Linked DNA regions of Pelodiscus sinensis. The protein of the gene in region 2 binds, or shares a complex with, the protein of the main gene of each other region. Links are inferred from orthologs where the notes say so. Each region holds a gene or a part of one and is shown on either strand. Other genes may lie near its edges. The genes, in order: MED16, MED23, MED20 and MED13.

Evidence for each region.
Region 1: MED23 (region 2) and MED16 share a complex: the UniProt entries of both Homo sapiens proteins name them as parts of the mediator complex. The link is inferred for Pelodiscus sinensis from reciprocal best matches to the Homo sapiens genes MED23 and MED16.
Region 3: MED23 (region 2) and MED20 share a complex: the UniProt entries of both Homo sapiens proteins name them as parts of the mediator complex. The link is inferred for Pelodiscus sinensis from reciprocal best matches to the Homo sapiens genes MED23 and MED20.
Region 4: MED23 (region 2) and MED13 share a complex: the UniProt entries of both Homo sapiens proteins name them as parts of the mediator complex. The link is inferred for Pelodiscus sinensis from reciprocal best matches to the Homo sapiens genes MED23 and MED13.

The regions. Positions count from the first base shown.
Region 1 is NC_134729.1:16,242,602-16,249,511, forward strand, and holds the start of MED16 (mediator of RNA polymerase II transcription subunit 16), read right to left. Parts: upstream 3,009-6,910; 5' UTR 2,865-3,008; intron 2,075-2,864; exon of another isoform or gene 2,055-2,074; intron 2,048-2,054; exon of another isoform or gene 1,065-2,047; intron 824-1,064; 5' UTR 766-823; coding exon 630-765; intron 336-629; coding exon 228-335; intron 1-227. UniProt on the Homo sapiens protein: Component of the Mediator complex, a coactivator involved in the regulated transcription of nearly all RNA polymerase II-dependent genes.
Region 2 is NC_134713.1:93,693,521-93,700,545, forward strand, and holds the start of MED23 (mediator of RNA polymerase II transcription subunit 23), read right to left. Parts: upstream 3,017-7,025; 5' UTR 2,712-3,016; coding exon 2,652-2,711; intron 1-2,651. UniProt on the Homo sapiens protein: Required for transcriptional activation subsequent to the assembly of the pre-initiation complex. Component of the Mediator complex, a coactivator involved in the regulated transcription of nearly all RNA polymerase II-dependent genes.
Region 3 is NC_134737.1:9,513,381-9,521,297, reverse strand, and holds the start of MED20 (mediator of RNA polymerase II transcription subunit 20), read right to left. Parts: upstream 3,021-7,917; 5' UTR 2,828-3,020; coding exon 2,814-2,827; intron 1-2,813. Other genes in the region: BYSL (bystin), read left to right, coding at 3,923-4,202, 5,649-5,811, 7,280-7,418. UniProt on the Homo sapiens protein: Component of the Mediator complex, a coactivator involved in the regulated transcription of nearly all RNA polymerase II-dependent genes.
Region 4 is NC_134731.1:5,974,062-5,981,393, reverse strand, and holds the start of MED13 (mediator of RNA polymerase II transcription subunit 13), read right to left. Parts: upstream 3,018-7,332; 5' UTR 1,350-3,017; coding exon 1,284-1,349; intron 1-1,283. UniProt on the Homo sapiens protein: Component of the Mediator complex, a coactivator involved in the regulated transcription of nearly all RNA polymerase II-dependent genes.

The DNA.
Region 1 (6,910 bases), on a different chromosome or scaffold from region 2:
TGAGAAGCACAGTGCTCTCTGAAATCCATTATGGACCTCACAATGCAGATCAGCCAGAGTTAGGCAGCGCAGATATTACACAATGGGCACTTCCAAAGATTTCAGACAGCAGGAATCTAAAAGAGAAAGACCTTCACAATCTCCTCTCTATGCCCCATCACACTGTGAGCAATTTTATGAAGTCCTCCCTAGCCCCCTCAAAAAAGCAACTATAAAAAGTAGTTTACCTGACTGATCCCATTCCAAGCAGGTGATGATTTCAATGTGCCCAGAGTTAATGGAATAAACATCCCACGGATGCTCCGTGTCCAAGATATGGATCATGTGGGTAAGATCTAGGCAGGGAGAGACCCGAGTCCAGTCAAGAATTGGCAGTAGAGTTTATTTTTAAAACATTCCATTTTTTATTGCAGGTCGTCAGTGAAGGCTGCAGTTATTTTTTATAGGGCCATAAACATGTGCTGATTTACAAGTCCAAGAAATCAAGTCTCTGCTCTGACGAATCGAAGATCTATTTTCTACTGCAAGAATAGCCTAGAGCAGGGGGGTTTCCACCTCGGGGTTGTGCATAGGTGTTGAGAGGGGGAACAGATACAAATCACAAGACACAGAAATGGGAGGACGGGTACCTTTTTCCTCCTCGTTTTTGAGGTCAGTTGTGAAGGCAATCAAGTTCCTGCAGGACCACGCGCACACCAACGGGATGGAAGGACAATGGTTGCTTTTGGGCCTTTTCTCCCACTCACAGACATATGCCAAATCCATTGTGCCCTGGAAGACCTTCAAGACGCCACTTGCCTGTTGAAAGCCTATTCATAGATTTCTGTGCATAGGAAAGAAACAGATGACTAATCTCTGAATAGGAGAAACGTCTATTGTACAGTCACACGCTCAAAGGACCTAGGTACATTGTCAAAGATCCCCTTTAAACACAGCTGCAGCCATTTTCACTTTTCAGAGGAAATTTGCTGCTTTGTGCAATCCCCATTAAAAATAGGATGCACTGACTTACATTGTCAGTCAGAGTAGACAATTCCCATCCTGGCTACAGTTTTAAACCTTACCCTTTTAAAAACTCCTGTGATAGCTGGATTCCCCTTCATTGCCTCTGCTCTCCTTTGCATTAACTCCGCTCCCTGCCATCCTTTCCATTCTCCCAGGACCTCATTCCTATCAAGATCTCCCACCTAAGAGCCTCCCAATCTCCATAACTCATCCTTTGTCCCTAAATGTAAGCCAAATGGAATGTGTCTCATACAGATTCTGAGCACCATTAATTAAGATTTCTTTAAGTAGGCTTAGCCCATACTGAGGCATCTGGGGAGAAAGGAAAGCCATAGAGTGCATAATCTTTACAGCCACGAGCACCTGCTTTAAAGGTTAAGTTTTCCTCTAAAGTGGGGAGAACGTAATCATACAGATTATCCATTATTCCACCTCTTCCCAGGTACAAGAGTACCAAACCTCCAATCCAAGTCCCAGATTGCTCATTTTCCTTGTGGGCACCTATCGCCCTAGGCCACGAATGAAATCGTTCTATTTGAGGGAAGAACGCGGTGAAGATAAAACAAGAGCCCACGTGGGGAGCTGGATGGTCACTTCCTTACATATAGGTCCAATAAGCACACGAGATAATAACTCCCTCTGAGCTTCTGTTTAACAATCCCTGATCTTACCCCGGAAATGCCCTATGGGGCAAAGGGGCAGTATCTGTACAGCCTCTGGAGTGGAAACATGGCTACTAGCCATGGATGAAAGTGGACGAGGAGTCTGAGACGCTTTTAGAAAACCTCTTTTTCCCTTAAGCGATCTGCGAGGGTCAAAGGGGGTCCCCCAGAGGTATGCCGTCTGTCCCTGGCAGGGCTACCATGCGGCTGCGAGTGTGTTCTCCCCGCACCCATGAACCCCTGCTACCAAGGGCAGCCCCCTGGGGCCGCTGGAATCCCTCCACTCCCAACCGTGCGGGTAGCCAGGGTCTTCCGCCCCGATCACCCCAGCACCACCGAGCTGCAGTGAGTGGGAGCCCGAGCCCCCGCCACCTAGCACAGCCAGACCTGGGCGAGGGGGGAGGGGCCACCTCTTCCCAGATGTGGGGGGGGGGGGGGCCTTGCTTTCCCCAGAGGCAAAAATAGTAATTATCCTCCCCAAGGATGGGTAATTACCCCCTCCCCCAGCCAGAGTTAATTATCCCCCCTCCCCCAGCCAGAGTTAATTACCCCCTCCCTCCGAGCCAAGTTAATTATCCCCCTCCCCCAGCCAGTTAATTATCCCCCCTCCCCCAGCCAGAGTTAATTATCCCCCCTCCCCCAGCCAGAGTTAATTACCCCCTCCCTCCGAGCCAAGTTAATTATCCCCCCTCCCCCGAGTTAATTATCCCCCCTCCCCCAGCCAGAGTTAATTACCCCCTCCCTCCGAGCCAAGTTAATTATCCCCCTCCCCCAGCCAGTTAATTATCCCCCCTCCCCCAGCCAGAGTTAATTACCCCCCCCGAGTTAATTATCCCCCCTCCCCCAGCCAGAGTTAATTACCCCCTCCCTCCGAGCCAAGTTAATTATCCCCCTCCCCCAGCCAGTTAATTATCCCCCCTCCCCCAGCCAGAGTTAATTACCCCCCCCCGAGTTAATTATCCCCCCTCCCCCAGCCAGTTAATTATCCCCCCTCCCCCAGCCAGTTAATTACCCCCCCCGAGTTAATTATCCCCCCTCCCCCAGCCAGTTAATTATCCCCCCTCCCCCAGCCAGTTAATTACCCCCCCCGAGTTAATTACCCCCCCCGCCATGGTACCGACCCCTCCCCGCCCCTCCCCCCAGCCTGGTACCGACCCCGCCCCCCCCCCACGGGCAGTGGCCGCGTCCCCGACTCACCGCGCTCCCCGCATCCCCGCGCGCCGCCTCCCGCCTGCCGAGCAAGGCCCCCGGCCCGGGCTGCCCCAAACGCGCCTGAACAAACCCCCGCGCTCAGGCGGCAGCCCGGACTCGCCTCCGAAGCCCGGGGGAGGGGAGTCCCGCCCTGCCGGCCCGTGTGCCAGGGCGGGAGGCAGGCTCGGAGCCGTCCGGGCGCAATTCGCTCAGGCACTGAACGGGGCAGCCCCAAAGGGAGGGCCTTCTGCAGCTGAGGGCGCTGCTGGGGTGATTTCCATATGCGGCTACCCATAATGCTCCAGGGCCCCGAAGCGGAGTGGGGGCAGAGTATTTCGACTAGATCAGTGAACATAAATGAAAAAAATTATTAGAAAATCAATACGATGATAAGGATCAATTGAGCTAACTAGATTCATTATATAAATACAGTGATAAAATAGTTTGCTCACCCTCAGCTAAAATAATTTTAAAAGGTAGAGGTATAAATACTACTCAGGTGGCTTTAGCATTTGTGCTCGCTTCGGCAGCACATATACTAAAATTGGAACGATACAGAGAAGATTAGCATGGCCCCTGCGCAAGGATGACACGCAAATTCGTGAAGCGTTCCATATTTTTCTTGCCTGCAAGGCCTCCTCTTGTGATGCTCCAGTTCACTGACTGCCTCTGCAGCGGCTTTAAAGTCTCTCTTTGCACCCAAGGAATCCTCGAATATTAAGTATCAGAGGGGGAGCCGTGTTAGTCTGAATCTGCAAAAGCGACGAGGAGTCCTGTGGCACCTGATAGACTAACTGAAGTGTAGGAGCATGAGCTTTCGTGGGCAAAGACCCACTTCGTCAGATGCATATAATTTTCTCGAATATTATGGTTCCCCCAGGATCCAAATTTACCCCAAGATCTGTCTTCACCCCCCAATCTCATGTGCGTCAGTTTCTTGAGATTTAGATAGAGCCCAACACACCCCAACATGTTTTCTATGGGTGAGCTGACAAAGAACTCCAGAATCCTGGCATTTGCATAGATGCAAATAAGCCCCAGTAACTTGTGATTTGAGAGATGGGGAGAGCGGCCCTGCCGACTGGTAGAACAGCTGGGGAGCCGCTCGTGGCCCCGGCGGGCGCCGGGCTGTTTGCCCACGGGGCTCGTTGCAGCCCCCGTGGCTGACAGCGCCCGTTGGGGGCAGATGGGCTGCGGGTGTAACCAGGCCCCAGTCTCATCTGCATCCCCCTCCCCCCCCGCTGTGTCGCCCTTGGGCGCCCCCCACCCCCGGCTCGACTGACTCCCCCACGCTCCAATCGCTCCAGCTGCCGCTCCCCAGGAGGATAATAGCCTTCTGCTGCTTCCAGCTGGTGGAGCTGCTGCCCCTGCCCGCCACTGCTCTCCGCAGTCACCTCCCGGGGGCCATGCCTGGGGCTGGTGGGGCGCCGAGAGGCTGCACAACGTGGGGGCAGGGAAGGATGGATCTTAGCCTGATAAATAAGGGAAACTCCAGGCCGTCTGCCCCAGGGGAACAGCAGCATCCCAAGGAGGCTGGAGACGGGGAGGAGGGGGGAGCCAGCTGGATCCCAGCCCTGCCCAGGGGAATCAGGCACCACCGGTAACACACAGCAGGCAGCTGCAGCGCTGGGAATGAGCCAGGCTAAGTGGCAATAAAACCCAGCGGGGGCCAGGGCTGGAGAGGCAGGGCCGGGGGCTCTCGAGGAGGCCAGGGGAGACGAGGGACCCCGGGGGGACGTAGAGGACGAGTAGGGAGTGGCCCAGGAAAACCCACAATGCAGAAGAGGAGCAGGCCTGGATCTTCAGTGCCCGAGCCAGGGCCAGACTCCAGGCCGGGAACGGGGGGGGCTGGGCTCCCCACAGGAGGCCGCCAGGCGCGTATCTATGCTGCAGCTAGACACCTGCGGCTGGCAGGCGACAGGTTCCCAGGGCTCGGGGGCTGCTTCCCGGCTGGGCAGCTGCTCCCACAGGATGCTGAGCTCTGGGACCCCCCAAGAGAAGAGCTGGAGCCACTGACACTCAGCAGCCCCTGCTGCTCCCTGGGGGCTGCGATAAGGGGGGCTGGGGGTGTTACCACAGCAGGCCTGCCTCTTGCGGCCTCCAGAGCGCAGGCGAGTTCCTACAGGGCATAAAACCGGAGTCTGGGTCGAGATCTTGCGGGCTGGGGTGTGGAAGCCGTTTGTCGCTATGCACCCCCTCCCCCCCTCTATCTGTCTGGCTCTGAAACGTTTCCATCTCCGCTAGAATTGATTTTGCTGGGTGTAAATCACTCCAGGCGCTGGGATGCAATTGCCAGGCTTGGAGAGTTACATTTCAGGAGAACGGGGACGGGACAGCTGCAAATATTACTGTGTTTGGGGGGGAAGCAGGAAGGGGGTGGGAAACGAAGGGAAGAGGAAATGGGATTCGTGTTTGTTGGAAGTGAGCCCCAATAAACATCCAATCAAAAGCTGTGTCTACATTGCACGCTTCTGGCACAAGGACAGCAGGTTTGCCTCTCCAGCCTTCGGGTCTGGCTCTTCTCTGTTCACCGGGGGGGCCCCCACAGATCAGCCCGGTACAAATAATGTACGGGAGCCGGCCCAGAGACCTTGGGCACACAGAGGGTTCAGCTGAATCGGAGCCACCTTGTGTCTAACACTCTGCACAAGGACTTTAACCAGGGAGGGGGCAAGGGCTGTTTTCCATCGGCTAAGAATCGCAGCATCCTGGCTGTGTCTACAGTGCCCACTTCTGGTGCAAGGACAGCAGTTCTTGCGCAAAAACTTGCCGGCTGTCTACACTGCACGCGTGTTCTTGCACAAGTAAATTTACAGTAGAGCGTCGGAAAACAGAAGAGTTACTCCTCTCCCCAGGAGGAATAAGCCCTCTTGCACAAGGAGGTGTAGACAGGCAACATGACTTTCTGGTTAAATTGGCCAGCAGAGCTTTCTTGCGCAACAGAGCGTCCACACTGCCACGGACGCTCTTGTGCAAAAGCACATGGCCGTGCGGACGTGCTCTTGGGGATGATTTTTTGCACAAGAATTCTTCCACAAAACAGCTCTGGTGCAAGAAGCCTGCAGTGCAGACGTAGCCCTATGTGGTACCCCGGCTCCTTCACCTCAGCCTGTGTTTGCTTCATGGGCCTGTCAGGTCACCCTCCAAGTTACAAGCCGTTTGGGACGGGGACAGTCCTTCGGCACCGGGACAGACCGGGCACAGCCAGCGCTGAACGGTAGCGAGGAACCTCCTCCCAGCCGGCATCGTTCTCTCAAAACCCAAAGGCCGCGTGCTACAGGGAGACGTCAGTTTCGCCCGATTTAGGAGGGGCCCCACAGCTCTCCCCTGGCTTATAATCTCGTTTCACCTCTATATGGCCAGCTAGTCGAACCTGTGAGCTGACACGGACTGACTGTTAAAAGGGAGAAAAGTCCCTTTCAAAATTGCGCCCTCCCCACCTTTACGAAAACCAGGTGGGCTGGGCCCGGTACATTCAGAACTCAGCTATTATGGAGGACAAAGCTTTTGAATGGGAGATGGATTGAAAACATAATTCATGCCTATGTCAGGTTCCCGACACCCATGGCGCTAAGTGGATTTAAACTCAGCGGGGGGCGGCAGCTGGCAGAATTTCTTCCTAATCTACATGGAAGATTGGCGAAGGCAACAGCAGCCGCCTGCAGTTTCTCCCCGCGAGGATGACTCACGTGTTAATTGCCTCTCGTCTTCCTGCAATAGGCTATTCCATGAAGCTGTGTCTTTGCCCCCCACAGAGGCCCAGCTGTCCAGACCCAGCTCTCCCGCAGGGACTGTCCAACTGCCCCACGGCGAGGCGGCGGCGCGTCTCCCGCTGGCAGCGCTGTCCACACCAGGGCGTTTCCCAGCAGATGGGCAAGGGGCTGTGGGGCGGTTTTCTCCCAGCCGACTGACGAAAACGCCAGTGTGGACGCAGCCCGAGCGTCCCACATCCCCGACCCTCCCGCCCGGCTCGGACGAGCGATCGCTCTACGTGACCCATGCGCAGACAGGCGACTCCGGAGCACTGCGATTTATTGTCCTTTTCGCCGCAC
Region 2 (7,025 bases):
GTTAATTTAGTTATTGCAAGGTAGATATAAAAAGATTATTTAAAAAAAAATTAACACACACATTTTTAAAAAATAAACACTGCCAATAACTCCAGAGGTGGTCAGACATGCTGGGCTGGAGAAGCCCTGGTCACCGCGAGCCACTGGGCTGGGTGGTGGGACCCCCAGCTGCAGCTGCGATAGGGCTGGACAGGAACTAGGTTAAAATGGTTAACCAGCCAAGTGCTACCGTTTAACCATTTTAACATCCCAAATAAACATTTAAAATTAAAATTTTAAAGTATGTCTATGCTTTTTAAAATCTTACAGCTTGATGTCTATCTGGAAACCAGTATCAAGTGGAGTGCCCCAGATGTCTATCTTGGGGCCAGTTTTGTTCAACATCTTCATTAATCTGGATAAAGAGATGGATTGCACCATCAGCAAATTTGTGGATGACACTGAGCTGGGGGGGAGAGGTAGATGCGCAGGAAGCAGGGATAGGGTCCAGAGTGACCTAGACAAATTGGAGGATTGGGCCAAAAAAAAATCTGATGAGGTTCAGCTAGGACAAATGCAGGGTCCTGCACTTAAGATAAAAAAATCCCATTCACTGCTACTGACTGGCTAAGCAGCAACCGGCTACCAACTGGCTAAGCAGCAGATCAAACTGCAGTGGGGGAAGTCTAGGGTGGTTATTAGGAAAAACTACTTTTCTAGGAGAGTGGTAAGCATATGGAGGTGATAGAATGTCCAACCTTAGAGGTTTTTAAGGCCTGGCTTGACAAATCCCTGGCTGGAATGATTTAGTTGAGGCCCTGCTTTGAGCAAGGGTTTGGAACAGATAGTCTCCTGAATTTCCACCCATGGGGACTGCTCCTTGTTAATGGTTAACGATTACCTGGTAAGCATCACCCTTAATTATTAAGGGTGATGCTTACTTGGTCACATCCCTACTTTTCACAGAAGATGACTTGCTAGCTAGCAAATCTAAACAAACGCCACCACCACCACCCCGAAATGAGCAAAAGGAGCAGGCAAAAAAGATAGGATGGTACAAAGCACTTTATTTGTATTTCTATTCTGTTTAGGTCCAGTGAAGAATAGAGACAACTACATTATTTGTATTACTGAATTTGTAAACCAAAAAAAAAAAAAGAAAAAAAAATCCCTTGAACTCTACACAAATAAGTTAGAAGGATTTGGACATGTATATGTTCATATTTATTTGTTCTGCCAAAATTTAATTAAATATGTTAGGAAAACAAGTCAAAGTGGCTGCCAGGAAGAGTAACTTGTGAGAACTGCTGCCTTACTACTACTACTTAAGATTCAGCCTTTTGCATCAGACTGCCAAATCTCTTGTAGAGGCCATTGTCATCCAAGACTTTGAGTGTTATAACCCCAATCTCTGACTGTGACATCTGCCACATCACATTCCTTAAATCTACTAAAAATAAAGGGATCCGCTTATTTTCCTAGCTCCAACTAGGGATGTGATTAATCCATTAGTTGACTAACCTATAAGCAAAAGCTTATCGGATAGTCAACATACTAGTCAACTAGCCGCTCCCCCACTCACAGAGAGGTGGGGGGGGGAGGGGGGGGCAGAGCTGGTTTAAAAGCCAGTTCGCTCCAGCTCCATGGGAGGGGACAGGTGTGCAGCAGCAGAGTTCCAACTTTGAAATGTACAAGAATCCCCACTGGGGCTCCTGTACATTTAAAAAAAAAAGAGGAAGCGCCTGCATGGAGAGCGGTCCAATTTTTAAACGTACACGAGTCCCTGCTGGGGCTCTTGTACATTTGAAAGCGTAAGTGCCGGCATGGAGCCTGGAGTCAGCGGGGGGTTCCACACTGACCCTGGGCTCCTCGCAGGCGCTTCCACTTTAAACTGTACAAGAGCTCAAGCAAGGGTTCTTGTACATTTCAAAGCGCAAGCATCACATGGAGCCCAGCCTCAGCCTGCTGGGACTCTTGTACATTTCAAAGGCAGAACGCCTGCTAGTCCTTATTGACTTAATGGAATAATAGATAGAAATCCCACGGACTATTCAATTAGTTAATTAATCAAAATTTAACCTCTCTAGGGCCAACCACATCTCTCTACTCTTGGTAGCCTACTGGCTCCCCTCTCTTCCACTACATCAAACACAAAACTCCTGGGTTTTGCTTTTCAGGATTATCATTTAGACTTGTGGTACTCATCTTCATAACTAAATGACCGACCCACCAACCCTGTCTTCATTTGACCAGTGATGCCTCCTTGATCACCCTCTTCTGGCTCAAGCATTCTCATGATTTCTCCCACGTCACCACGCTACCCTTTATGAAAACAACCCCCCAAACCCAACCCACTTTGGCTGTCAAAGCCATCAGCTGTCCTCTTTTAAATCCCTCCTTAAAACCAGCTTCTGCCCCACCTATCACTCCCCCCACAGCAGTTAGGCAAGAAGGGAGCCGAGACCCAGGCTCTTTCGCTTTACTCTTCTCTCGCTCTGCCCGCCCGTTCTTAGCGGGACACGTGAGGCTCTTCAATAGCTTAACGCCGGCACAGCGGGGCCCGTGTTCCCCTCCCCCGGCCAAAGCGCGCCAGGCCCGCACCCCACTTAGCACTGAAGTCTCGAGCCAGCCCCTCCCCGCAGAGGCCCCACGACCGCCCGGCCGGGGCTCACCACCACCTCCTCGAAGATGCTCTGCAGCTGGGTCTCCATCGGCACCATCGGGATGGCCATGGCCCCGCCCCGCGGCCCCCGACTCTCTGCGGGCGGCGGCACCGAACCGGGCCCGGGTCCCGCAGCCCCGCCTGGGGGTGGCCGCGCTGAGGAGCCGAACAGCGGCGGCGGCTTCTGGCTCAGGCGGCCGCGGCCCCGGCGGAAGGTGCGTCCCGGAATCCGGCCCCGCCGGGAACCAGCTCCCCGGGCCGGGCAGTTCCGCGCGCCTCGCTCCCCGGCCTGAGGCCCGCCCCGCTGCTGCTGGACGCGCCCAGCGCACAAGCCGAGCGCTGCTCTGCCTTTGCAGGGGCGGGCACCGCCGGGCCCAGGCTGGCGAGGCCTCAGGCTTCTCTGGTGCTCAGGCGGGGGCGCATCCTCTACTCCCTCCGGCTCAGCAGGGCTTAGGCAGCAAGCCCCACGGCTGGCAGCGTTTCTATATCGTGTTGCCAACTTTTCCCAGGCCAGCGCTGTCCCAAATCTGCTGAAAAATTCCCAGATTATTTTTTACATATTATAAAGGCTATTTTATGTATCGTTAATTCGTTGGTTTTATTTTATATACATATATATATATATATATATATAATTAATAACTCGAAATATACGACAATAATTTTGATGGTTTTATGATGCTCTCTATAATTAAAAATATAATTTTATGAAAGCTGAACTTTTCATCCAAAAATAATTATTTTTCATATATCCAAATATCCTTAATTTCATGGATTGTATTTCATACAATGAAAGAATAATAAAACAGTTTAATTATTTTACTCCTGGAGGATAAAATCCGTACAGTATACACTTCAGTATACACTTCAGTATACATTTCAGTTATATATGATAAATAAAGGAAGTCGTCAAATATAAAATATTTTCGTTTCATATAAAATGAATAGAATATTTAATACATAATATTTAACTATCACGATGAGTTTTCAGTTGAGTCATGACTTGACTCCTCACTAGAAATGTCATCACCAGCATTAATATTTTTATCAGTCTGACCACCAGTTTTTCTGGCATATCCATATTCATACTTATTTTTATTATGTAAACTTAAATGCTTCTTTGTAATTACAAAACTAGAACATTTTTTTTGCTTTAAAAGCTGAGCTGATAATTACACTAGAATTAAGTGTTTTAGTTTTCATGTTACTCCTTTTAGTTTTAATGTCTGTAACCATTGAAAAAATTCTCACATGCTGCATTTGAATGTGGCAATGCTAAAACCTTTTGAGATAATTTACAAATGTTTGAAAACATACATTTTTCAGAAAAATGTTTCGTTTTAGAAATTTCATGCCACATTTCATTAATAGGCTTATTCTTTACACATTCAGTTTGATTTGATTCTAAAGAAAATGGCAAGGCTTTGAGTTCACTCTGAGCAGAGTTCACATGTATCTTAAATACTGCACAAAGTTTGGAGATATCTTTTTTTTCTTTATCTACATCAACATCCTAAGACAAATTTTAGGATCTATAAATCCAACCTCTGAGAAAACAACTGAGTCAAGTGGCAGCCTGTGCTGCATTTCTTGACAACAAGTGATGTAATAATGCTGAATCACTTTTCTTACATTGATAGCTACACTAGGATCAATACATTTTAAGGACTCCTCACACTCTGGACCAGTATACATTTCATTAATTTTGATAAAAATAGAGGGATGCGACACATTAACTTTCATTGTCACCTTTTAGGAAATATGGTTGTAAGTAATTTGTTGCAATTACTTTGAAAAGGTTCACTGACTGGTTTAATGCAATGAATGAGTGGAGATTGGCTTTGAAAGAGAGCATTGAATTTGTTCGTGTAATCCAAAACATATTTCAAAAATAGTAGGTAGGCTTTAAGTTCTGGATTACACATTGCATCGTCTATTTCTTTTGCTTTTGGTCTTTTTTGATCGACACACTCAAGTTGTATATAGTTAAACAGGGCATCCCACAGCACTAATATTCTATTTACACAAGGGTGTACAGCTAACCACCTTGTTTGACTTGAGTTTAACATAGATAAATTTAAATGGAGAAAATATTCAACCATCTCCTCAATTTCTTCTTTCTTTTTAACACTATGTGCTGGATAGTTAGTGATATTTGTTATAAACTGCTCTACGAAATTAGGCAAAACTGTAGAAGCTGAACTTGATATCAGGGCTGACATATGGCAAATACATCTCAACAAAACAACATCTGGAACATCCTCTCTAAGTTTAGAGAAAAAGGAATTATTTGCTCCTATCATCAAATTTGCACCATCACAAGCAACACCCAAAATATTATTCAATGGGATATTTTTTTGAACATTGACTCCCTGAATTTAGTATAAATGCTTTCCACTGTTCAATTTTTAGCATCAAGTTCAATGAGTTCTAAAAATTGACAGGCAACCCTATTGACCAACTGAGAGCAGTTTTTGATAAATCTGAATGGTCTGCAAATTTTTATACCAAAGGAACGACAAAATGAACAGAAATTTTAATTTTATTGAAAATTTCCCAGGATTTAACAGATTTTCAAGAAAATTCCCAATTTCCCATTTTGACACATTATACTCAAAAATTCCCAGAATTTTGGAATTTTCCCAGGATATAAAAACACTGACTGCTGGGCACCCTCTCCAGAGCTTGGGAGCAGTGGTGCCTACGGTGGCCAGGCTGCCTTCCTAAACCAAAATCTTGCTGAGCCTTGTTTGTAGGAATAAGGTGCAAGAGAAAACCGTACTGCAAAACAACTCAACAGCTGTCGTGGGTACATTTCCCCTCACCCCCCCTCCCCGGTCCATTTTATGCTAAGCCCTGTGGTGTGTAAAAAATCCACCATCTGGAGTGATGCTTTTATACACTCAAACCCCATGGAGAGTGTTATGTACACACAACTTCTTTCACATAGTTACTGTTGCTTAGGTCTGTGTAATAGCATCTTCGCTAAGGTGCTACAGCAGTGTTCTTCTTCTAGTTAGGATATTTGTTCTTGTATATTTACAAGTCTGGAGAGCCTCCTGGAAATACAAAAAAAACCTAATAAATTAGTCTGGTAATCGAAGTGGATGGCTCATGCATTGGACCTTAAGGATTAGTAGTAGATGTCTGAAGCAAACAGGGTTTTCTTAAATAATCTTGTTATCTTGCAATAAACCTCCTTACAACAATCAGACAAACATATAGAGCATATAGAAGTCATAAATTAATACAAGCGAACCCCACATATTTCAAAAGTTTACATTAGTATAGCTACGCTAGTGGGAGTAACAGTAGAAGTAACGAGAGGGTGAATTCTTCCATCTCAGTGAGTTTCACAGAGCCTGTGAAATGCATTGTGCATGGTAGGGATGTAAGCAAGTATTGACCATCCAATAAGGATATGCTTATCAGAGAGAGGCAGCAAGTCGGGGGAGCAGGAGCCGATGCTGGAGGGAGCCAGCTTAAAAGCCGGTTTACCCCAACACTAACTCCACTGGGAGTCTCTTGCTACATTTCAAAAGCAGAAGCGCTGTGGAGAGTATGGGGCCAGCGCGGGACTCAAGAAGTCCCCCTGTGGCCCAGTGCTCCCTGCTTTTGAAATGTACAAAAGCTCCAGGGGGATTCAAAAATACATCCCCAGGCTCCAGAGGGTGACGCCTTTGTCATTATCTCACTGGAGGACCTTCCCCACCACCCTACCTTATCCTCCCTACCTTCATCTGACTCCAGCTTGAGTCGGGGGAATACTTGAGTCCCCCTGTTGGCCCCAGTGAGGCTCTTGCTACATTTCAAAGGCAGAGACGCCCTTATCGACTATTTGAATAGTCGATGAAAATTCCATCAACTATTCAATTAGTCTAAATTTAACATCCCTAGTGCATGCCCAGTCTCAGCTATTCACCCCAATGGCAACATTGTATGTTTAGTAAGGCTTGCAGCATGCGTTCTCAGTTCTCTAGCCAGAGGGAGAAGTAAAACAAACCTGACCCAGCCCTAACCAGAATCCTGGTCTTTAATTCTGCCACACACTAAATCTAATTTGGTGCTCAGCATGGTCCACATGTTAATCCTGCCTTGAACTCACAAACTGGCACTAATGGTAATTCTAAGCCTGACCTAAATCTAACCATACTTCAGTTTATCAGTTTTAAGAGACGCCTAAAGCAGGGGTGGGGAACCGTTTGTGGGCTGCTGTCCCACAGAAAAATAAGTCTAGGGCCAAACACAAGTGAGAAGCAAAATACAAACAAACAAACCCTCACTGATGTGGCCCCCAACTCAGAAGGAGAAAGACACCTCCCATGTTCCCCTCATATACCAGAGCTAAGTGGGGTCCAGGATAGTAGATTTTGTGTGCTTCAGC
Region 3 (7,917 bases), on a different chromosome or scaffold from region 2:
ACCCGCGGCTGTTCTGCATTCCCGTGCTCTGACCTTTTTCCTTGTCTGGTCAGGGTGCCGCTTGGGACAGCGAGAGCTGACGCTGCGGCCAACAGAAGCCTGTCTGGGCCACGTGCAGCTCTTAAAGGGGCAGCGTTGGGGTTTTTTGGGGGGGTTTTGGTTCAACAACTTTCCGGCCGACGGCTGTTAAAGGGGCAGCGGTTCCCCCCCCCCCCAACAACTTCTTTCCCTTGGCTCTTTGCACTGTATCCACCACTATTTTGGTTCTTTGTCTGTAACGGGTTGACCACCCCTGCTCTGCAGTATAAACTTAGTACTGCAGAGCCCACAGTGTGTAACGGGTAAAAAATGTTAACGGCTACACAGTTACCTAGTTAACTACCTTTTAATATCCCTAATAGAAAGACATGGTAACCAAGTCAGAATCCAATTCAGCAGTCAATGTACTTATAAAGTCTATAATAGAGATCAGAAGCCAACATATGAGTTGCTGGATCTGTAGGGTACTTGCATACTTGACTCATGCACTTCAAGGCCAAGAGAGACCATTGTGATAGTCCAGTCTGACCTCCTACCTAACATAGCACAGAGTATGATAGAGTAATTCTTCCATCAAACCCATATACTTCTATTTGAGCTATAGCATTGCTTTTAGAAAGACTGCTGATCATTAAAGAGACCGTTCAGAAGCAGGATTTGAACCCATGCCTGCAAAGGAAGCTAGAACACCCAGAAAAGGATAAAACAGCTTTGCATATGGCTTCTAGGCCGCTCAAACATCCCATGGTTAACAGACATTTAAGAGACCCCCTAAGGCAGACACAGCAAGTATTGGCACCACACACAGTACCACAGCAAAGGGTGCCAAATACCAGGACAGACGGGACACTGTAAAGGTAAATTTTCCTTGTCACCCTATAAACGTATAAACTGAGCATCACACAAAAGAATCTGTTTTACACAAGATTTTTGCCGTTACAGTGATAGACCCAGATAACCAAGAGCACATTTGATCCCATATTATCCATGGAGCAATTCTGTTTCCCGCTTAAGTAGTATAAATCCTTGGTCTCCTGTTTTTAAATACATACCCTCCGTGCCCCTGATACCGACTGCAATACCAGTTATCCCTTTAGTTTATTTTACGAGCTGCAGTATTGACATAGCGTGTCGGTAACATGCCCTAGCTAGATCCCTGTCAGAACATAACCCACCTCCCTCTTTGCATTCCCTGAGCAGCGGTGTCTCTCTTCAGACAACACCCAGTCAACCTGTGGAACTCCCTGCCAGAGGATGTTGTCAAGGGGAAGTCTATAACATGTTCTAAAGAACTAGCTAAGTTCATAGAGGATAAGTCCATCAATAGCTATTAGTGAGGACGGACAGGGATGCAAAATCATGCTCCATTTGTCAGAAGCTGGGAACGGGCAACAGGGGAGGGATTATCTGATGATTCCCTGTTCTGCCTATTCCCTCTGGGCACCTGGCATTGGCCACTGTTGGAAGACAGGACACTGGGCTTGATGGATCACTGTTCTGATCTTCCTCACACGCCTGAGCAAGAACCCGGCCTCAGCCACGTTCTTCTCTGCTGGGTGCCTTCTCCCATTATTTCCACCTGGCCACATGTGACGATGAGGGATGTCAATGCGTAGTCAACTACACGATTAACCAATAAGCCTGGACTTATGGGTTAATCTTGTTGACTACATGCAGCGCAGAGGATGAGGGGGGTAGGTTGGAGTCCATACGCACAGGGAGCAGGCTTTCAAGCAGCTTCCCCATGAGTGCTGGCTCTGGGGACCTACCTGACCCCCTTTGCTGCCTCCTACAGAGGCAGAGAGGAGGGGCCAGCCAGAAGCAGGTTCCCCCCAACATCAGCTCTGTGGAGCTGCCTCCCCCTGGCGCTGCTGCCTCTATCAGCGGCAGTAATGCGGGGGTGGGAGAGGCAGGGGAGGTTGCTGTGAAGTTGGCTCCGTCCATGGCACCCTGGGCTTGCCGTGGACAGAGGCTGGTCTGCATCAGCAGCTCCTGTCCTTTTTTGGGGGGGAGGGTCCAAGCTCCCCGTGGACAGGGCCTGCTGTCGCAGACCAGACTCTGTCTGCAGGGAACTCAGACCTCCCCCCCCACCCTACACGGACAGGGGCTACTGCCATCCCACGCTGCTACCTACGTCTTAGAGGCAGCAGCATGGGGCTGCAGCTAGCCGGTCTGCGCAGGGAGCTGTTTTTTAACTGGCTTCCCTTGTGAACTTGTTCCCGCCTGCCATCCCCTGGTGCTGCCTCTGATACAGAGGCAGCAGCCTGAGGTAGTAGGGGGTTCCCCAGGTGTGGGGCTGGGAGAGCACTGGCTGCCGCTGCCACCCCCGCCCCCAGGGGCGATCGAATAATCGTGTAACTTCTAAGATTTCATGTGCTTACACAACTATTGAATTACACAATATTTAGCATCCCTAGTGAGGCAGGATAGTGGTGCTGGCTCCAACAGTAAGACAAGCCCCAGCCACTGCAACACAGGCTCGAGAAGCCGCAAGAATCAATGCAGCCTGAAAACGCATCTGTCAGCTCCTCCTGCCACAGAGCAGCTCCTAAGGACTTAACCTCTTAGGGCTCAGCGCAATGAGCTCACCCTGCTGCAAATCCTCAGCCCTCCCTCTCCCGCAATTCGGTGCAATGCTAGATCAAAGCTGCCGAAGCAGAGCTGCTCCTTGCAGACCCCCCCGTCTGCAAACCCCACGCCGTGGCATTAATGGCAAGCCAATCAGGACCCAACCACATGTATCCTTTTTAACCACGCGACATAGAACGTCTCACCAGGTAACTCCCATGCTTCTTGAAATCTTCACGTCGGGCTGGACCGGTCCCTATGCAAGACGGCGAGGGCGAGCTGATACTATCTCGGTTTAAAAATATACTTGCAGCAGTGACTTGGCTAGGGGTGTATCTCTCCGTGGAGGAAGCACACTCGCTAGCTCCAACCCCTCTGCGGTGTCAAGCACCCAGCAGGAAATGATATCAGCAAGAGGGGAGGATTCCAGTCTCTGGCCAGTCCCCCTGCCTCTCGGTAGGTGGGAATTACAAAGCTAGTTCCTCCTAGAGGCAGATTAGTCCCCAAGGACTGCGAGCAGCAGATGGCACTAAATATAAACGGGGGGAGGAAGGGGCTGGAGTAAAATCAGGTTTTAGGAGCCCAGGGGCATGTTAACCACTGATGCAAAAGATTTTAACGAGCCCCAATGGAACTCTGGTGTGGGCTGATCCTATTCTAGGACCCTAAGAATTATGTAGCCAAGTAACCAATATCCCCTGCCCCGCCACCAAGTTGTTCCAGGCTAATGTATCTCAGTGGAGTTAATAGCATCCTAGACACTAAAACTAGAAGGGACCCTGAGAAGTCATCCAGTCCAGTCCCCTGCCCTCATGGCAAGCCCAAGCACTATCCATAACAGATGTTTCTGCAATCTGCTCTTAAAAATCTCCAGTGATGGAGATTCTACAACCCCCCTAGAGAATTTATTCCAGTGTTTCACCATCCTGACAGTTAGGAAGCTTTTCCTAATGTCCAACCTAAACCTCCCTTGCTGCAATTTATGCCCATTAATAGGTGGCTCCAGTCCGTGTGTCAATAAATCCCCCTTCTCTCTGCTGCTTCTGAAAATGGAACTCGCTGTCGCACGAAGGACTCCCTCGAATTGAAAGCTCTGCCTTGGGAGAGGTTCCTAGAAGGCGCCCTAAAATAGCACGCCTGCGCCTTTAAGAGCCGAGACTGGAGACAAGCGTTCATTACGCTGTTGCCAATTTTGGAACGGAAGGACTCCCAACGTTCCAAGAGCGCATGCGCCCTCCCTCTTCCGAAGACGCGCACTGTCGGGCCGCACACGTGCACTTCCCGCAGGTTGCGGGGAGAGCGCTGGGGGATCACTATGCCTAAGGTCAAGCGGCGGAGGGGCGCAGGGGAGGCGGCCAGGAACCTGCCCCTGGCCGAGCAGATTATACAAGGGGACTCGGTGAGGCCCACCACGCGGGTGAAGAGGCGAGGCAGGGGCGGGCAGCATGGCGGTGGGGAGCAGGAGGAGCAGTACGTGGATGAGAAGCTGTCCCGGAGGATCCTGGAGCAGGCTCGGATCCAGCAGGAGGAGCTGGAGGCGGAGCACTGTCCAGGCAAGGGAACCGAAGCGAAGAAGGAGAAGACCACGGTGCTGGGTGAGTGGGGGAGCCGCGCTGATTCTCTTACCGTTGTTTGTGGCGGAGAATTGAAGCGCAGGGCGATCTCTAAGAACAGCGGATTAAAACAAAAGTCCCGGTGTCGTGGGAGGAGGCATTGTGCTGCCCTGGCGGCTGCCTTTGGGATGAGACAGCAAAAGGGACAGGTGTGCTAACCTTGTAGCTTGGTCTGAGTTTTTTCATGGGAAGGCATCCTGCCTCCGTAAATCCCCCCCTTGTATCCATTGTATGTATCCTTAAACTGCCCCCATCACTACAGTATCTGACATCTCTATCATGAAGGGATCTTATCCTTACAGTGATAACCCACACACCGATTGGGCGTGTCTCACTGTCCCATGGAGTGGCACTGAGCCCCTTATGGAGAAGAAGAGTACGTTTCCTCTACAGCCTCAGCTGAGAGCCAGCTGGTTTATAACTGAAGCTGTAGAGGCTCACACACTAAATTCCAAAGGTTCCAGGTTTGGTTCTGTTACACCAGCACCTCGGAGATACTAGAGACAAATAGAGTCTACAGTTGCACAGAGAGATCTAGGGACTTACCCAAAGTCACACAAGAAATCTGACTTAGGAACTGAACCCAGGTTTTTTGAGTTTTAGTGCCATAGTCTATTCAGTGAACCATCCTTTCACCTGGATAATACGTTCTTCATTTCCTGTCCCAAATAATATTTTTATTGTACATATGACAGTACATTGCATTAGTCAGTTTATTTGTCACTTAGGACCAGCTTTTTAATGGTATTGGAGTTGGTCACCGAAATACGTTTTACAGCATGGCCCCTAGTCTGTGATCTTGCAAAACTGAGCAGTTGTATTAAAGCTGATGAGTCTGTGTCTGAGTATAAAGTTCAGTGTGTATAACACACACATCATAATCATTATACCCTCTAATCTTTTCCATCCATGTGCAAAATACATTTTTATGGGCATCGAGGTATATGTGAATGTGCACCACACAACCTAGCTGTGGATGCTCTGCTAATCAGCTGAGTGGCATTTGAATCCCACCTGAGCAGCTGCAAAAGCGCACAGGCTACAGGGAATGCTGGTTATAATCCCCTAAAAAACAGGCGGCGGGGCGGGGATGCACGTATATAGGACCTGAAACCGTTTTTAATTCTTTAATTAATAAAGCTTGAAATATGCACCGTAATATTTAATTGCACATCTGTGCTCCAACATTATTGGCTGGCCACAGCAGTTGTTTAAGCAATTGGCAGAGGAGAAGCACGTTTTGGGCCTGGATGGAAATTCTGATTGCCCCTTCAGATGGACTGCCCCTGGGTATCCCTGGTCTGCCTTCCTATAGTGGGTGGTTGTCTACATTAGAAAGGAGCTGCTGTAAATTCATCTCACTGGCCACCCAGCTACTGGCTCTGCACCCTTATTTGTCCAACCTTAACAGGATGTGGTTTATTTCAGGGTCCGGATTGCGCGATGGGGATTCTGACGCAGAGGATGATGAGTGGCCCGCGCTGGAGAAGGCTGCATCCATGGGAAAGGGAGAGTACTGTGAGGAGGTGACGGTGGACCCTGAGGATGAGAGAGCTATTGAGATGTTCATGAACAGGAATCCTCCGCTAAGGTAGGAAGCAACCCCGATCGCGAGAAATTAAAAGGCTGCCCCCCTGATTAGCAGAGGGCCTATAGCCAGCCTGCGTTTTCTATTGGTGGTGCACATCCGCACATGGCACGGTGCACGCAATAAAACTTATTCTGCACATAGATGGAAACAATTGGAACATTGCCCCTGAGCCAAGGGATGTAAGTGTTTCTGTACTGGGCCCAACTGCGCTGCACTCGGATAGCATTGAAGTTTAAAACAGCGCTTTGAAGAGGTTACGTGAATTCTAGAGGGTGGGTTTGGTTGAAGGTCCATCACTCTTCCACAGCTGGGGAAACTGAGGCATAGGGGAGGATTGTTTTTTGCCCAACCTCTTAAGGCAAGTCAGAGGCGGAATTAGGAATAAAACTCAGGATTCCTGACTCTCCTGTGCCCAAACGGTAGATAATGCTGCATGTCCTCTCCATGGCATATGCATGGGGCCAACCATAGTAACTCCAATTGCTGGAGAGCAGCAGTGGGCAGCCTATGACCCATGAAATATTTTGTTACCATTGCCCATACGCGGGGTTGCCAGATCCCACTAGTTTCTGTTGGCGTCAGGTTTTTTTCCCCTGCCGGTATTGCAAACGTGACACACTCATAAAACAAGAGCACGTGAGGCGAGGTGTGTGCTGGTTGCACACAGCATTGGCTGCGAGAGCTGTGTGCTCGCTCTGCAACCAATCAAAACCCTGCTACAGTTCATTCGGCATGCCCTGCGAATTCCAGGTACACAAGCGCAGTGAGCAAAATGACCCTATCCCGGGAGGCTATATTGGTTACGACACTCTTGCGGCCCACTGAGATGGAGGGCCACTCCTGCGGCCTGCTCAGTAGCTTAGGTTGCCTGTTGCTGCTGCAGTGCCTAGAGGCCCTGCTGAGATCAGGTGCTTGGTGCTGTACCTGTATTCCAAAGACAGACATACCCGTCATAGACAAGACAGATAAAGGATGGGAGTGGAAATAGAGGCACCAAAGGGGGAGAGATTTTCCCAAGGTCACCCGGCAGGGCAGTAGCAGAGTGGGCTGTGGAACCTCCCTGCTCTGATTCCTACTGCAATGCTTTGTTCTTAGGCCCTGCTGCCTTTCATAGAATTCCAGGGCTGGCAGAGACCTCAGGAGTCATGGAGTCCTGCCTCCTGCCCACAGCAGGACCAACCCAACTAAATCAACCCAGCCAGGGCTTTGTCAAGCCAAGACTTAAACACCTTTAGGGATGGAGATTCCACCACCTCCCTAGGGTACCCATCCCAGTGCTTCCCCAACCTCCTAGGGAAATAGTTTTTCCTAATACCCAACTTTGACCTCCTCCACTGTAACTTGACCTCCTCTGTAATTTGACCTCCACAGTAACCAACCTTTGCAGGTTGGTTTGCCAAGGAACAGGCTGATTCTGTCCTAGGCCTAATACCAGCTCTGCATTGATTCCTTCGCCTGTATCTGCCAGGCTCACGCTAGCTGATATCATCATGGAGAAGATTACAGAGAAGCAGACCGAGGTGGAAACCGTGATGTCAGAAATATCAGGCCACCCCATGCCTCAGCTGGACCCCCGGGTGCTGGAGGTCTACAAGGGTGTCAGAGAAGTAAGAGCAATCGCATTTGTGTAGCAGCATTCATCTTCAACGCATTGTAGCTCTGCCAGGAGCTAGACTGAACCAAGCTCAGCTGTTCCCATGGCCAGTATTCACAGTTGTCATGGCTTGTGTCTTCAGCCTCATGGCTTGTGCTGAAGAATATCTTCACCCACTGCTAACATGCAGCCGTCTCTGGGGCGGAACATGACAGCTGTCTCTGTAAAGTGCGTCAGGGTCAATAAGGAGGCACCTTCTGCAGGGTCTGAGGTTTCCATCCTTTCTGTCATTACATCCAAGATACGGGGGGGAAAAAAACCTCTGGGACTGTTAATTGCACTCTTATGTTGAGAGAGTTTTTACTGCTCAGCTGGTGGTAAGACAGGACATTCGAGCTGCTTTTAAAATTCTCTTGCGTCCAGAAGCCCCGAGGTGCGTGGAAGCCTGTGAACAGAGGGAATTCCAGTGTGATTAGTTAATGTGCACCAGGCTTTCCAATAAAATCACCCCT
Region 4 (7,332 bases), on a different chromosome or scaffold from region 2:
TATCTTCATAGTCATACAGGTAATCACTACACTTTAACTATTGTTTACAAAGCAGCACTGTACCAAAAAACAAGGTTTAAACCCTGACCCTTGTTAAATGCAACAATGACTTCAAGATACATGGCAGGAGGTGCCAAATGAATTCAGCCTCATAAATGAACATGTACAGGGGGTTCCTAGCGCTTAACACCATTCCCCACCCCCCTTCTCCCACATACTTCTAATCTCCTGTCTTTCCTCCCCCAGGTATGACAACAATTTGCACAGTTTATCTAATGGGGTGTCCTCCCCCACCACAGTTAGAAGATCAGGCTTTGGACTCAGGGTTGCTAAGGAATTTGCAACAGTTGGTACTTTGAAAGACTTACAAGATGTTACTCATACTGAGCTGCAGGCCTGATGCAGCCTTCATACTGGTATCCTGCAGACATGCTCAAGCTGCCCAGATTCCCCTCCCCCAAAACATACAACAGCAAGAACAGTAAGACACAGGGTTTACTTACAACAGTCTCTGCAATAATAAATACCCATCAACCTGATACAAACTAATTTGCATTAAAAGGAAAATGAGATGTCAGCAATCCCCATAGCCACACACAAAAATGCACCATCACCCAACCCAAAACAAGCTGGCTTTAGGAGCTGTCAAAAGTAACAGTTAAAAAAATAAAGGATGTGAAATGGTGCACAAGTATAGGCTGGCATATGCATTTGTAAGAATATCATCACCAAAACCAGCTTCTTACGGAAAAAATTAGACAAAGAAAGCATTAAGAATCCAGGAAAAAGGGAGGATTTAGCTGAGATTTTTTCTGGGGCATCACTAAGGGGGATGAGAAAGCATACAAAGTTTGTCTGAGGAAAGGAGAGTAGTGGAGCTACATACCTTCTGTCAGGACTAAAATAAAAATGTGAGAAGGTAGAGCTAAAAAATTAATAGAAAGCAGAAAAAAGTTGGGGGCAAGCAAACAGAATGGAAAATCTAAGTGTTGGGGTAATATTGGCCAAAAGTGACAAGAGAAAGAGGGAAAGACGGTATTATAGAGGCAACGATGTGGGTGGAAAGGGGGGTGGGGAGGAGGAGGAGGAAAAACAGAGGGACATAGAAAAGCTAGCTGGTTCCAGGCAGGGCCTACTCTGAGGACTCATCCAGCAGAAGCTATACTAAAAATGGCTGCTTTGCTTCCACTACCCCTTCCATCCCCCGCCCCCATCGCCCCCCCCCCCTCAAAAAAAACTCTTTCCCTCTGTGTATAGTGTGTCCGCAGCTGGTGGACACTTACCAGACAGAATAGGTTGGAATGGCAATCCTCCAGGCTGGCCCCGTTCGGCACGAAGCAGGAACTCATCCTCACAGCCACAACCCACACGCCATTATCCCACAGCCTCCGACAAGAAAGAAAGAGACAGACAGAGAGAGAGACTGAGGGGAGGGAGAGACACAGAAGGAAGGGGGGAGGGAGGTTACACACACGCACAAATAATACAATTAAATAAGGGAATTTACCCCCACACACACACACAGAATAGTGTCAGGTAAAATATTCAGAAGGAGAGCGGCGTAAAATGGGCAAGAGTCAGAACCTTTCCTTCTCTTCTGCCAAAGCAGGGGGAAAAGACAACAAGGAAAGGGAAGAAAAAAGGAAGGGGTCAATAATCCAACGATGGGAGATTTAAGATACACAATCCTCCCTGCTCCTCTCGTCTACTCAATCGAAGACCAAGGGGGGAGAATAGGGTAACTGATCCAACAAGGGGAGAGAAGTGGGGTAATTAATCCAATGGGGCAGGAAGTAAAATGGGTTCACGACCCCTCCCTCTTATCTCAGTCGCCAAACGAGGGAGTTGAGGAATAAATAATCCAACAGGGGCAATTAATCCAGCCACCTCCCTGCTCTTCCTCGTTTTCTTAATCGCCAGACGAGAGGGGCAAATAGTGGAATGACTGGGGGATGAGTGGTAGAGGGTTGATAGAGTCCGAAGGGGAAGAGGAAGAAGCGGGGGTGTCAGATTCTTCTCCCCCTCAAAATATATTCCAAATAAATTAAAGATTAGATCAGACAAAAACTTCGGGTTTCAGAAACCAGCTGTTTTAAGGATTCCCAAGACTGGGGTAAAATTCTCCCGGGGTGTACCCCAAATCCGCCAGGGGGGTTCTTCAGAAGGGGACCCCGAAAGCCCCCTCAGCAGCAGTCCAGCGAGGTACGTTTTCGTGTCACCATACCCCCCATCAAAAAAAATCCTCTTATCTGAAGGGTGCAACCAGCCCAACAGTCTCCGTTGTGCGTGCAGATTCTTCGCTGGGGGAGGGAAGGGAGAGACACACCAGGGCGCCCCTCCGAGGCGCTGCGGGGGGAGCTCCCCAGGGGCTGCGCCCCGGCTTTTTTCAGAGCCCCACGAAGTCTCTCCTCAGCAGGGGCCTACCCCGAAGTTGCGCTGACCCCCACCAGACCCCCCCCCCGGAGGGGTGGCGCTCCGAGCCCCACCGACTCGCCGTGGGGTGGGGAGGTCCCTCCGCCGGTGCGAACCCCGCAAGTCTTCCGATGAGAGGTCTCTCGGGACGGGGGGGGCTGCACCCCGCGAGCTCCCTAGCTGGGGAGGGAGGGGCCAAAGGGCGGGCTGGACCCCAAACGCTCTCAACGGGGGGGGGGGCCTCCGCGGGCGGGGGGGCCAACCCCGGATCTCCCCGGCGGGGACGCCGCACCCCGGCTTCTCCTCAGCTGGGGGAGGGGGGCGACGCCACACGCTCCGGCCCCGCCGCCGAGACAGAGGGACGCGGCGGCCGCAGTCGGTGCCCCGAAGCCCCTGCTGCCGGGCCTCCTCCCTCAGCGGTGTCTCTGTCGGCGGCTGCCCGGCCGCGGCATCCTGAGCGTCCGGCTCCCGTCAGCGAGTCGCCCCCATGTCGCGTCCCGGCCGAGGGGGGAGGGGGAAGATTCTTTTCCCGTCTAATTCCGAGCCCCTTTTTCTTTAATGGCGGCCACAGGGACGAGAGTCTAGGGGGGCCCCCCCTTCCGCGCGCTGATTGGCCGCCGCCGCGTCACGTGGGCTGGAGCAGCGATGGCCGCCGTCGAGGTTCAGGGAAAGAGGCTGCAATGGCGCAGCCGGGCCGTGGGGGGCTGTGGCAGCGCTAGGGAGCTGCGCAAGAGGGGGCTCGCTGCTCGTTGAGAGAGCGACATCTAGTGGGGCTCCGTGGCGTGGCGCGGGAGGATGAGCTGCTCCTTCAACACTTCATTTTTACATCGCCTCATTAGCAGCGGGCCCACAATTAACAGGTGCCTCCTTTTTTTCCCCTGTTATAAAATACTTACTTATGCATCAGAGGGGTAGCCGTGTTAGTCTGAATCTGCAAAAGCGACGAGGAGTCCTGTGGCACCTTATAGACTAACTGAAGTGTAGGAGCATAAGCTTTCGTGGGCAAAGACCCACTTCGATGCATCTGACGAAGTGGGTCTTTGCCCACGAAAGCTTATGCTCCTACACTTCAGTTAGTCTATAAGGTGCCACAGGACTCCTCGTCGCTTTTACTTATGCATGTTATTCCTCTCCAGCTCATCATCTGATGAAGTGGGTGTTGTCTACAAAAGTTCATGATGCTATATATTTTTGTGAGTCCCGTGGGGCTCATCTACACTATGGAGACGATGGAAACTGCCACAATTGATCTTCCAGGATTGGAAGTAGCAGGTCATGCTAATTCAAACTGGGAGGGCATGCCCGTCGGTGCTGGTAGTCCTAATGAAGACTAAGGGACTTCAAGGGCACATCTGCTCCTGTATGTCTCTTGCTGCATAGACAAGCACCAAAACACAGTTTAAGATACTTCCACTCCAGCTACATAATAAACGTAGCTGAAGTTGCATCTCTTAAGTTGACTTTCCTCTTTAGCAAAGACCATGCCTAAGGTGTCACAGGACTTCTCATTGCTCCTTTGCAATTAGTTTAAACATCAAAGTCCCGCTTTACCACAAGTCTTCACATTGGACACAGAGTTGAAACCTGTCTCCCTACCAGGTCCTACCATTCTGGGCTTTAAATCCCCACCCAAAGAGCTAGTTTAAATCTCCTGCGGGAGTAATCCATATTTCCATCCAGCAGCATTTGAACAGAGGCCAATTGGCTTCACATTCCAGCCTCCCATATATCACTCAAGAATTATCAACATACCCACCTGTGGCACCTGCCAGTAACCTAAGGATGGGGCCCAAAATCCAAGCCTCATCAACTCCTCCTAAATCCAGGAAAGGAGAACTCAAGTTTTTTCCAAATCCTGGCACATACTGATAGAGGTCAATGCACAAGAGCAAACTGGAGTTTACACTTATAGAGTAGGCAAAAGCAAAACTAGGGGGGCATGCAGGACATGCCATGCATGCAGGCCCATGGCCACAGACGACCCCAAATCCAGAGGTGAAAGTAAGCCGGTGCGCTCCGATACAGTGCTCTGGCGAGAAGAAGCCGGCCAGCTGGGGTGCTTGAATGCCATCACTCCCAGGCGGGCTCCCCAGTAGACTGCCTTGCTCAGAAGCAGGTAGCCAGGCAGGTGAAAGGGGCTGGCTGGGGGTGTGCACGTGCTCCCCGCCAGTCCAGGACATCCCCAGTCCCTAGACCTGCAGCCTCACTTACCTGGATCCCACTGCTCTTCCTCCTCTTCTGATTATGAAGTAGGGAGGGGAAAAATGCACAGTTTGTGTGCCTTCCTGCCACTCTTGACTGCCCAGGAGAGGGGCAGAGGTGTTCTTCACACAAGTTGCACACTTCCTCTTGCTCCCTGATCATCAGTGTGTGGGACCGCAGCCCTGCACACCCTCACTCCCCCTGCACTCACTCCTAAACCTCCCAGGCCCATGTTCTGACCCCCGACCACTTGTTCTGATTCCTGCACCACCCCCCATATCACCCTGCCCTTATTACTGAACCCCAAAAGCCCCTCTGCCGAGCCCCCCACACTCTCAGCTCCCTGCCTTGATCCCCACCACTCCCAAATTACCTTCAGTCTACAATGGACCAAAAGCATTCAATGAACGGGGCAGTCATTTCATTTGAGCACAAGCTTGCATAATCTACCCCCCTTGGCAGAAGTCTTGGACCATGGACTGGCATGAAAGCAAAATGCATGAGGCTACAACTGTAAGTAGTCTAATGCTGCTGTTTACAGCATAATGTATGTCTCAACAAATCTCCATGTTGAATAATTAGCGGATTACTTTATGTGATATTAAGCAATGCAGCAGATTGCTTTCAAATTTAAATTACAGGACATTTGATTGTATTAATAACTTGGGAAGTGCTGACTTTCGACTTGCATAATGTTTTTGTTGTTCTTTAAATATAATAGGCACAATTAAAACTATACAAACTTATGTAATTATTCTTTAATATACTGAGAAGATAGGGTAAAATAATTAAAGCTAGCTAAGCAGTAATGCTCAAGAGGTAAGCCATGAGAACAGAGTGGGACCCAAAGACATATCTTACTCCCCTCCTCACACCCCACAGAACAGCTAGTTGTGCTCCAGGAGTGGGTTTTGTCTCTTAAAGTTTAGAAAACACAGAGTGTTTTTTATAACACCTATGTATTCCATGATTCTATAGCCATCAAATCCACCCTGATGCAGAACTGTGCTCCATTCTCAGTAAAGTATTATGCAGTGTGTATGATAGAATAAGCTTGTTCTTATGGTGGTGATTGTATGTAGCTGCAAAAGCAGGATGAAATTGTTCAGAAGTAGAAGTACTCTAGTCATATAACGTTTATTTGAAAAAATAACTTTAAAATTTAAAGTTTTTAAAAGTAGTCAACATTGTATTAACCCCATCATGGTGGATCTATTATATAGCATTTACTAGGTTGCAGGTAGAATACAAACTTTAACGCTTTATTATTTTATGTGACTTCATATATATGTTTGTTATTGGGATGTAAAAGTGTAGTCAATTAACCGATATGCAAAAGCTTATAGGTTAGTGCTATAGACTACATGCATTCCTGCCCCCATACTTGCCAGTAAATTTTTTATCAGGCTGGCCAGAAGCCCAGCTTAGTCCTGGCTTGCGATGGGTCTGGGACCTACCCCCACTGCGTTTAAACACTCTGCATTTAAAGAATATTAGGAGCTGGGTGGGCAGGCAGCCCAGCTCAGTTCCAGCTCACGCCAGGTCCGGGAGCACAGACCACCCCCTAGACAGGGGCTGCTGCCACCGCCTCTTTGTAAAGGCAGCACCACGTAACAATTGGCAGCCAGTCCACAAGGGAAGCTGGTTTTTAAACTGGCTCCCCTCATGGACCTGCTCCCACCTGGCACCCCACGCTGCTGTCTCTGATACAGTGGCAGCAGTGTGGAGTGGCAGGGGTCTTCTCCGGAGTGAGGCCAGAGTACACTGGCTGCTGGCCCCGCCCCCAGAGACTATAGAATAGTCGACTACCAGATAAGAATTCACAAGTTAACTCAACTATTCAATTAACTGATATTTACCATCCCTAGTTTGTTGCGGTTGTATTTTAAACTTGCAAAAGTGGCTCAAGCAAAGAAAAGATACCTTCAAATATTTTGGCTAACATAACATTTATATCAAAATGGCTTTGTCTGCACTGCAGGGTTTTTGTGCAAGAAGCTTTTCGTGGAAGAGATCTTCCGCTTCTTGCACAAAAGCATATTCACACATCAAAAGCGCATTGCAAAAGCGATGTGCTTTTGCTCAAGAGAGTGTCCGCGCTGCATGGACACTCTTGCACAAGAAAGTTCTGATTGTAATTCACAGAATGGCCATCAGAACACCTGTGCTTTTTCTGATAGGCTCTTTTTGCGCAAGAAACCCCTGTGGAGCATCCACACACAACTTTTTGCGCAAGAACTCACAACATGCTTGAGGTGTGGATGCTCTCTAGGTTTTTGCACAAAACCCCTGTAGTGTAGACATAGCCAATATGTTTTCCTGCTAACCCAACTCATTAGATCAAAGATATGTAAAGCTATGAAACCTGACACTTCACAGACCCTGAAAATTACTTTAGGGCCCATAGATGTGTTCAGTGTCTAAGTGCTACAGGTCCTGAGTAGGAGTGGGAGGAAAGGACACTATAAGTTTATAATATAAAAGGTCAATGAGCAGGTACAGATTTGCTTTTCAGAAAAAAATTTCATAAGTTTACTTCTCACAGAAATATTATTTTTGTATGCCAGCATATGTTAGCAGGATATTTATTTTATTTTATTTATTTTAATTAGAACTAACCTGGAATGTTTTAACCCAAGAGATTCATTCCCTTACTGCTCTTGTAAATATAGCAGTTAGGGACAGGGATGGGTTGTGGGAGGAGGGCCCTTTGGAACA